Linked DNA regions of Caenorhabditis elegans. The protein of the gene in region 2 interacts with the protein of the main gene of each other region in a pairwise test. Each region holds a gene or a part of one and is shown on either strand. Other genes may lie near its edges.

Evidence for each region.
Region 1: the proteins of gop-1 (region 2) and unc-108 interact in a two-hybrid assay, tested with the Caenorhabditis elegans proteins (one study listed by BioGRID).

Annotation. Positions count from the first base shown.
Region 1 is NC_003279.8:3,820,999-3,824,925, reverse strand, and holds the start of unc-108 (Ras-related protein Rab-2), read right to left. Parts: upstream 2,044-3,927; coding exon 2,021-2,043; intron 1-2,020. Other genes in the region: npp-11 (Nsp1_C domain-containing protein), read right to left, coding at 3,602-3,675, 3,731-3,918.
Region 2 is NC_003281.10:5,252,457-5,256,383, reverse strand, and holds the start of gop-1 (Protein CLEC16A homolog), read right to left. Parts: upstream 1,947-3,927; 5' UTR 1,915-1,946; coding exon 1,715-1,914; intron 1,667-1,714; coding exon 1,536-1,666; intron 1,491-1,535; coding exon 1,192-1,490; intron 1,141-1,191; coding exon 948-1,140; intron 901-947; coding exon 785-900; intron 735-784; coding exon 577-734; intron 529-576; coding exon 425-528; intron 1-424. Other genes in the region: Protein sumv-1, read left to right, coding at 2,198-2,338, 2,395-2,570, 2,615-2,707, 2,763-2,911, 2,961-3,040, 3,088-3,259, 3,307-3,405, 3,455-3,546 and 1 more. UniProt on the Caenorhabditis elegans protein: Regulator of mitophagy.

The DNA.
Region 1 (3,927 bases), on a different chromosome or scaffold from region 2:
AATCGATTATTGATTGATCGGAAAATGCTCAAAAAAGTGAAAAAAGAGAGAGAAAGGTGGTAGAAGTAATAGAAGAAGAGAACACACACACACTGAAAAAACATAAACTTTGGAAAATTGATGACGTGGTGTGGACGAGGCAGACCAATCAATACTTCCTCATGACTGAGGAGCGTAGTGAAGGAAGTTACGAAATGAGGTCGAATCATATGATGAAGATGGATAAGAAATAGGGAAAAGTTCGGCCAGCATGTTAGAAAACATTTTTGAAGCAAATAAAATTGGCGAAAATAGCAGAAAAGAGCAAAATTTTTGAGCAAAAAAAGTTAGTTAAAGTCAATATAACCTCTTCCAAACATATATATTCCAAGGAACCCATGCCTTTTTTTCACATTTTTTCACTCTCTCTCTCTTGCCACCGCCACCACCAACACAGCCAAAAAATCGAAGAGAGTGAGCGCGTGGTGAGTGTCTCGTGAGCGTGGTTGTGAGCGGAGGGTTATCTCTGCGTCTATAACAAGAGAGATGAAGAGAGATAGAGAGAACCAGAGAAAGAGAGGGAAAATGGGAGCAAAGAGATGTGTGACTATTTATTTCGGATGACGTGCTTCTTCGTTTTGCACACATACACACACAGAAGCATATCCTGAAAACGAATGGATCGAGTCGTTTTTTTTCGAGAAAAGAATAACACAAGTGATGAACGGCGGGTCTGGGTTTTATTTGGGAGCAGACTTTTTTTGCTGCCAAAAAATGTAAATTATTTTAATGAAACTACTGTACTTACTATTGTGGTTATTTCAAGGTGGAGTAGAGCCACAATTTTTTAGTTTAAATGACCGAATATAACTGCTTGAAAATTTAAAAAAAAATGTTAATGTTTTTTTTTTTCAATTTTGCCAAAATAAAATAAATGAGCAATAGGCTTCTTGGAGATATCTTTTTTTGCAAATTCAATTTTTTTTCGGATTTTCTTTTTCATGTTCCTTTAAAGGCACATTACATTAATTTCCATGGGTCTCGCCCAGATATGGACAAAAATTTTTTTCAGATTCTAAGACACATAGATCAGAAAAAAAAGAAATAAAGTAGTCTGCTGGCAGGAAACACGAATAAGAAGGTGCAATTGGAATTCATTTCAGAAGATGTGCGCTCGTGAGATCTCATATGTTTCTTCTTCTTTTTCTTCTTCTTCTTCCATGTCAAATGTCGGGGGCGCGGCTCTCTAGAATCGGGAATAAGAGAAAGCTGAGCGAAAAAGAGAGGGACTCCTTTTCCCTTTCGTGCTGTTTAATTGGGTCGAGCCCCTCGTAGCCATGCACAAAACCACACACACACATATATATATAGCCAAACAGAATTGGCAAAAGAGAGTGTGCGACAGATGAAAATTTCAAAAATTGATTTCCGGTCATGGGCTTTTGGAGAAATTATTTCAATTAGAAAAAAAAAATCTAAAGTACGATCACTTCATTGCAACTGCCTATGAAACAGAAGTGAATTACGAAGTTTATAATGAAACTGACGCCTCTCAACTAATGGCTTTTCTGTTATCTACATCGGGCAAACGAAAGTGTATGCGTTATCCTTTCGCCCTTTAATTGATCGCATAACTAACGATGTTCAAATTATTGTAGTCTCAATTGAGAGGGAAGTTCCAATTCACTGGAATGATCGAATAAATTTGTGGAAATTCATTTCAGAAGAGCTAGTAGACCTAGCATACATCGTAATAATTTAGGACCTACTATTATATCAATAATTTTTTTTTTAACTTTAAAAGTAAAAATCGGTAAAAAGTTTTAAAAACTTCAAATTATATGCTTAAAATCTAGGCCACTGGAATTAAAATAGCAGATTCTACAAAAGTCGTAATTTTACTCGAATTTTACTCAAATTTTCTTAACAAGAGAAGTGAATGTGAAAAAAAAGCTGGTGCATGGCCATATTAATAAACTTAGCCCAAAAGATTCAACTCTGCAATAGAGAGCTTCTCTTCCTTATTGGACTATCATCATACCCGTATAGCGGAGGCGCAGACATTGTGCTTATGTGAAGTCACGAGAATCACGGGTAGAGAAGACGACGACGACGACGACGCTGAATTCACGTGAATAGGGGGTTAGTGAGATTGAAACGAGAGAGAGAGACGTAGAAGACGTCAACTAGAGAGAGAGAGAGAAGATAGAAGCTGAAAGAGAGGCTTTGTTAGACGATGTTGGAGAAGACTGAATGGCTATAGAGTTCTACTCGAGTCACCAATTACGTGGAGCTGGAGAAGAAAAAAAAGAGAGAAAACAGAAAAGAAGAAAGACATCTTCAACGAAAACACACTCGGATCCTTCATTTAGCCGGACCTCGGGGCAAACAGATTTTGCATAATGAGCAAGGCGAAAGCTTGACGAATTTTTCGGTTAAGAAGAAGAAGAAGACGAAGAGGAAAGAATGCGGGAATATAGTCTCTTCAGGTGTACGAATAATCCTCCACTTCTGCTCTCTGAGAGCAACAATTGCGAATGAGCAGCACTATTGACGACACAACGTTGAGAAGAGACGGAGAGCATTTTTGCACTTTGACGAATACTAATTTGGAAAAAATGATATCACTCTTTTTCAATGTTGGGAAATTTTACATCAAGGGTGTCGGTTTTTGAATTTCCACTAAAAATCAAAAAAATTTTTTTAAATTTTGGCTATTTTTATTATTTTTTGAAAAGAAAATTAAAAATTGTTTTCGTAAATATATTTTTTCATCAACATCAAAAACAAAAATTGGTGAATTAAAAAACTTATTTCTAAGAAAAGTTTAGTTTTTCGATTTTAGCAAAAAATTGAAAACCTGACACCCTCGATTTTCAATACAGGTGGTTACTCCTTCGAGGAATCTTACGATATTTGATGAAAAGTAGGGTTTCCAGTCTCGAAACGATCGATCTCGCAGCTACCGTACTTTCAAAAATCACAAAATACTAACATTTGACTAGGAGCTCCTAGGGATGCAAGATAAATTGATGAAATCAAAAAAGAGAAACATCACTGTAAACGTTTTCAAAATCACAAGGAAAAGCAATTAGAAATTTCTAGAGCATCAAAAACTATGATAAGGATCTTTTGATAACAATAGTGACCCCCGCAAATGGGGGAAATTCAACGAAATTCGTTGAAATTTAAAGAGCAAGAGGTAAATACTTGGGTATAACTTGGGCCACATATTAAAATGTTAATTTTTTTAGTTAAATAAAATTTTCCAAGCCAAAAAAAAAAAAAAAATGAAGAAATAAAACAATTAATTATATTTAAAATTTAATTTTAAAATGTAGAGTTAAAATACACAAGTAAATATTTTCCAAACAAGAAAATATAAAATATATCAGTGTAATTTTAAAAAACACTTGAAAAAAAAAACCAAAATATAATCAATATTTTTTAAAAACAAGTTCATTCACAAACTCAACCAAACACACAACAAAACAGACAATAACAAAAAAAATAAATAGTGTGATGGTGGTGATCATGAAGAAAACAGGTGAAAGTGTATAGGTTTAAAGAATTAGAGTTTCAATTTAAAGAAAAAATGAATATATAAATAAAAAGTAAGAATCTAGGCCTTCGACGAGTTGTTCGTTTTCAGATTGTGGTCATCCTTCAGCTTGTTCAGCTTATCACGAGTAGCATCTGTAAAATAAAAATTGACATTTAATAATTTGATTAAAAACTCTAAAATTAGTACCGTGTTGAGTGGAGAGATCCATCAGCTTCTGCAGCTGCTTCTTCATAATAAGCTCAGTTTTCTCCAGCGGGGTCTCGGTTTTCGTCTTCAAAACTGTCGATTGCATTGTGTTAAGTGACTTGGTGATTTGATCGAGATCGAAGTCCGCACATTTCATTTGGGAATCCACGTTGAGCATCATTTGAGCGCTGGAATTT
Region 2 (3,927 bases):
TGTAAAAACGAAGATTTATTAAACCTTTTTTTTTAAATATTCCTATTAAAAAGCCGATGAGAACGGTAAAAAAGCATTCAACGCTAAAATAAAAACAGCTCTTTGAGCAGAAAACAAGATAAATCAAACAAAGCGCGGCGAGACCCACACAACAAGCTACGCATGTGTCCCTTTAAATTTACATTACTTCGGCAATTTCTGCGCGCCCTCTTTTTATTCATTTTTTTTAAATAGAAAATTATCTGGATGACGATATTTACTGTATGATATCAAAAAAATTTGAAAACTGTTCATGCAAAACTAAAAAAATGAAGAAAACGATCACAGATGAACAGGAACTTTACAACATTGAAAACTTACTGTCTGAAGAGGAGTTATTGGAAATGGAAATTTTAATTTAACAAATCAATTTTTTAAAACTCACCATTATTCTGAAACATTGAATAAATCAGCATTAATCCATAGAATGCCTTCGAATCGTCTGCTTGACTGGAATCAAATGCTTCCAGTAGAAAATCGAAAAATACGCTGAAAATACTATATTCAAAGCAAAAATTTTAAAATTTCAGCTCTTACTGGTCTTCATTCACATATTCTCCGGTTGGTGATGATAATGTAATCGGTTCTAAGCAATATTTCTCATTATGACGTATCCAATGGGTCGTCAAAGTATTCTGAGTGTCAAATAGGAAAGATGATAAAAATGTATATATTGTTTCATGGTGACGAACTATCTGAAAAATAAATAAATTAGAAAAATGTAATTTTAAATGTTAAAACTCACCAATAAAAATTCAGAGAAAAAAAATAACGCAGAAATCGGAGTGAGTAGAAGTGAATGATTATCTCTTCTTGGTGATATACTTGAAAGTAATAGAGGGCTTAAGTATCGTGTTGTTACTGAAAATTTAACATTAAAAACTTGATTTTCCAGCAGTAAAACTGACCTAAAATTGATAAACTTTCGGCGACAGCTTCCACATCCAATAGTTCACCAATATAATGAATCAAATCAATTAAATCATCCACTTTTCCTCGTAATCTCTCTCGATTAGCTAACACATTCTCAGCAGATCGTACAAATGTGTCCATTTCAAGTGAGAGACCAACTAGAGAATCTATTAACTCCGATAGATATTCCTGTAATATTTATTGCTTAAATACACCTTTTCAAAATAATTTTCTACTAACTTTTGTATGCTTGATAGCGAAAATAATCATTGAATCATCTTGAACTCTCACAATATTTAAAAGAATATTTCTAACAGCAATTCGAACCATTGATTCATTCCAATTATAAAGCTTCAAAACTTCTACCAACAATGGAAATTCTTCAGTCGTTTCATTGAAGAAGAAGTGGATTGTAGCTGGATTCAGTTTAAATGAAAGAGTTTTCAGAAAACTAATGTAGTAAGCCATGATCTCATCATTTTGTAAATCGAATTTGTGGGAAATAATCGAGTTTACATGATTGTTACTTAGAAGGAAATCTGAAAACTGGCAATTTTAAGCGAAAATCCATATAAAAAACTTACAAAGTGAAGTTTCATGTCGAATATTTTCGAATAAAATGTTCAAAGTCTGCAGTAATTGTACATTTAGTGGTGTGTTTCCTTGTTCCATAATTTTCAAGAAATAAAGAAGCATTTGCCGCTCAAGGAAGAAACTGAAATTCAACATCAGATTTGAAAAAAAACATTGGAAAAAAACTCACTCAAAAACCGAAGCATCATTCTGATCGCCCCAAATGAGAATTTCTGCGATAGCTCGTAATGCTTCTACTAATATTTTCTTATTGTTTTCCGTAACTTTCTCATTTTTTGTGAGCACTCCTTGTAAATATTTGAGGTATTCCAAAGAATGCGGATTTTTCGGCTTCCATAGTGACCCAGAAGAACCAAGCTTGCGGAACATTATCGATTTTGTTCCAGGTTTATTGGTGCATTCTGAATATTTAAATATTTATTCAAAGTTTAAAAAGAAAGATTTAGCTTGAAAATTAAATTAAAAGAGAAGATAAAAACTGCGCACAAGGGTGCGCCGAAAAAAAGTTTTACTTCTCAAACGATGCTCCGAAATAACGTTTTCGCGTGTTGTTTATTACTTCAAATTTCAGTTGTTTATTTTTCAGAAAATTGTTTTAATTTGTTTTATCTCAACTTTTTGACTCAATTTTCCATTTTTATTTTTAAGCAGCATGAAACAAACAACTCGTCCTCCTGCTCAATATATAGTTGCACCTGGAACACGATTCCGTCTTGTTGCCAATGAATACGACAAAAATAAGTATGGACAATGTAATTATGCTTCGTATCGAACGCTTGTTCGGTGTAAGCAGGTGAGAAAAAATACGAAAATTTGATAGTAAGCTTTTTTTCAAATTTAAAATTTTAGATACGATCAAAAGAAGAACTTGCGAAACATGGCGGCCGTTGTGAAGAGCACGTCGAATTTTCAAAAACGTTAGAAAATAATCATAAGAAAGAAGTGATGCGGTGCCATGCGGAAAATGATTCAAAGATGCAAAGACGTCGTTTTGATCCGTGGATTGCATCAAATGAGTATATTTCGTAAGTAAAGTTTTTTTTTTGAAATTGAAAATAACAATTTCCAGAGACGATGACGACTACCTCCAAGCTGCTCAAACAGTTCCTCAGCGTCTTCCAGATGTGGCAAATGATGATATATTGGATAATAATTCGTTAAGGTATTCTTATTAATTATTTTTCTTGGGAATTAGAAAAATAAATTCGAAATTTCAGATACGCTGAATACTATACTGACAAAGATATATTGAATATCAAGATGGATTTAGTACAAAAGGATATTGACGATTTAATTGAATTTAAAGAATTGGTCACAAGTCAAGCACAAAAAGAGCATGAATTGTTAGGAAATGATGAAGAAGAAGGTAATTCAATTTAATAGGCATTTTCGATGAAATTTATTGCGTTTTTCAGATTATCCAACAGATATGGCCCAGCGAAGAATTTTCAAAGCATCCACAAAATACTCAAGGAATGACTATCTGACATTGACGGTAATGAATTCTGAAAATGTTTCATTATTCTATTGATATTTTTTTAGACAATTGATCCAGTATTCCATCAATGTTGTGTTGGACCAGATATGGATGATTCTTTAGTTATTGTACACACAATGCACTCTATTTTGGATAAAATTGACAATTTTGAACCAATCGACTCTGAAAAGCAATGTAACAAGCCGGCGCTTCATCTTAGCAAATTTTGCTTTGATCGTAAGTTTTAAAAATATTTTTTCGTGGCTTACAAATTCAAAGTCCAGATATTATACTGGATCGTTCTCAAAAAATGTTCGATGTCTGCAATGCATGTGGTCTTACTGCAATTGGAGGAGTTGATCCGAAATGTTCGTTCCATATAAGTGAGTGCCAAATCATTTTGAAAAAATCTGATTTTAAAAAAATTTCCAGAAAGTTCTGCAATAGCTGAAACTACGTCTTGCCCGTGTAATCGGTGTGTCCAACCTGGTGAACATGCTTCCCCGAAAGATGAGAAAAATTCGGTAAATTGTTTTTTTTTCAATTATAGAAAAACATTTTTTAAGTCGTTATTTTTAGATAACCTGCTATTTGAATTCATCCGACGACGACGAGCCTACACTGGGAAACTTGTCAAGAATCGAATCGGTTTGTTTTTCAGACATTTTTGAGTTAAAAGAGAAAAAACCGATCAATTTAGATTTTGATATTCCCAAAATGACCTCAAGCAGCCGATTTTCACTTCTCAAAAATTTCCAAAAAGTTTTGTAGCGAGGTTTTTTTTTCAAAATTTTGAACAAATTCAAATTTTCTGAAATATAAAATTTCACGAGGTTGTCCGTGTCGCAGCAGTTATCAATTTTGGAGAAGGGTTTTTTTGAGCGATTGTGATCATTTTTGCCAAA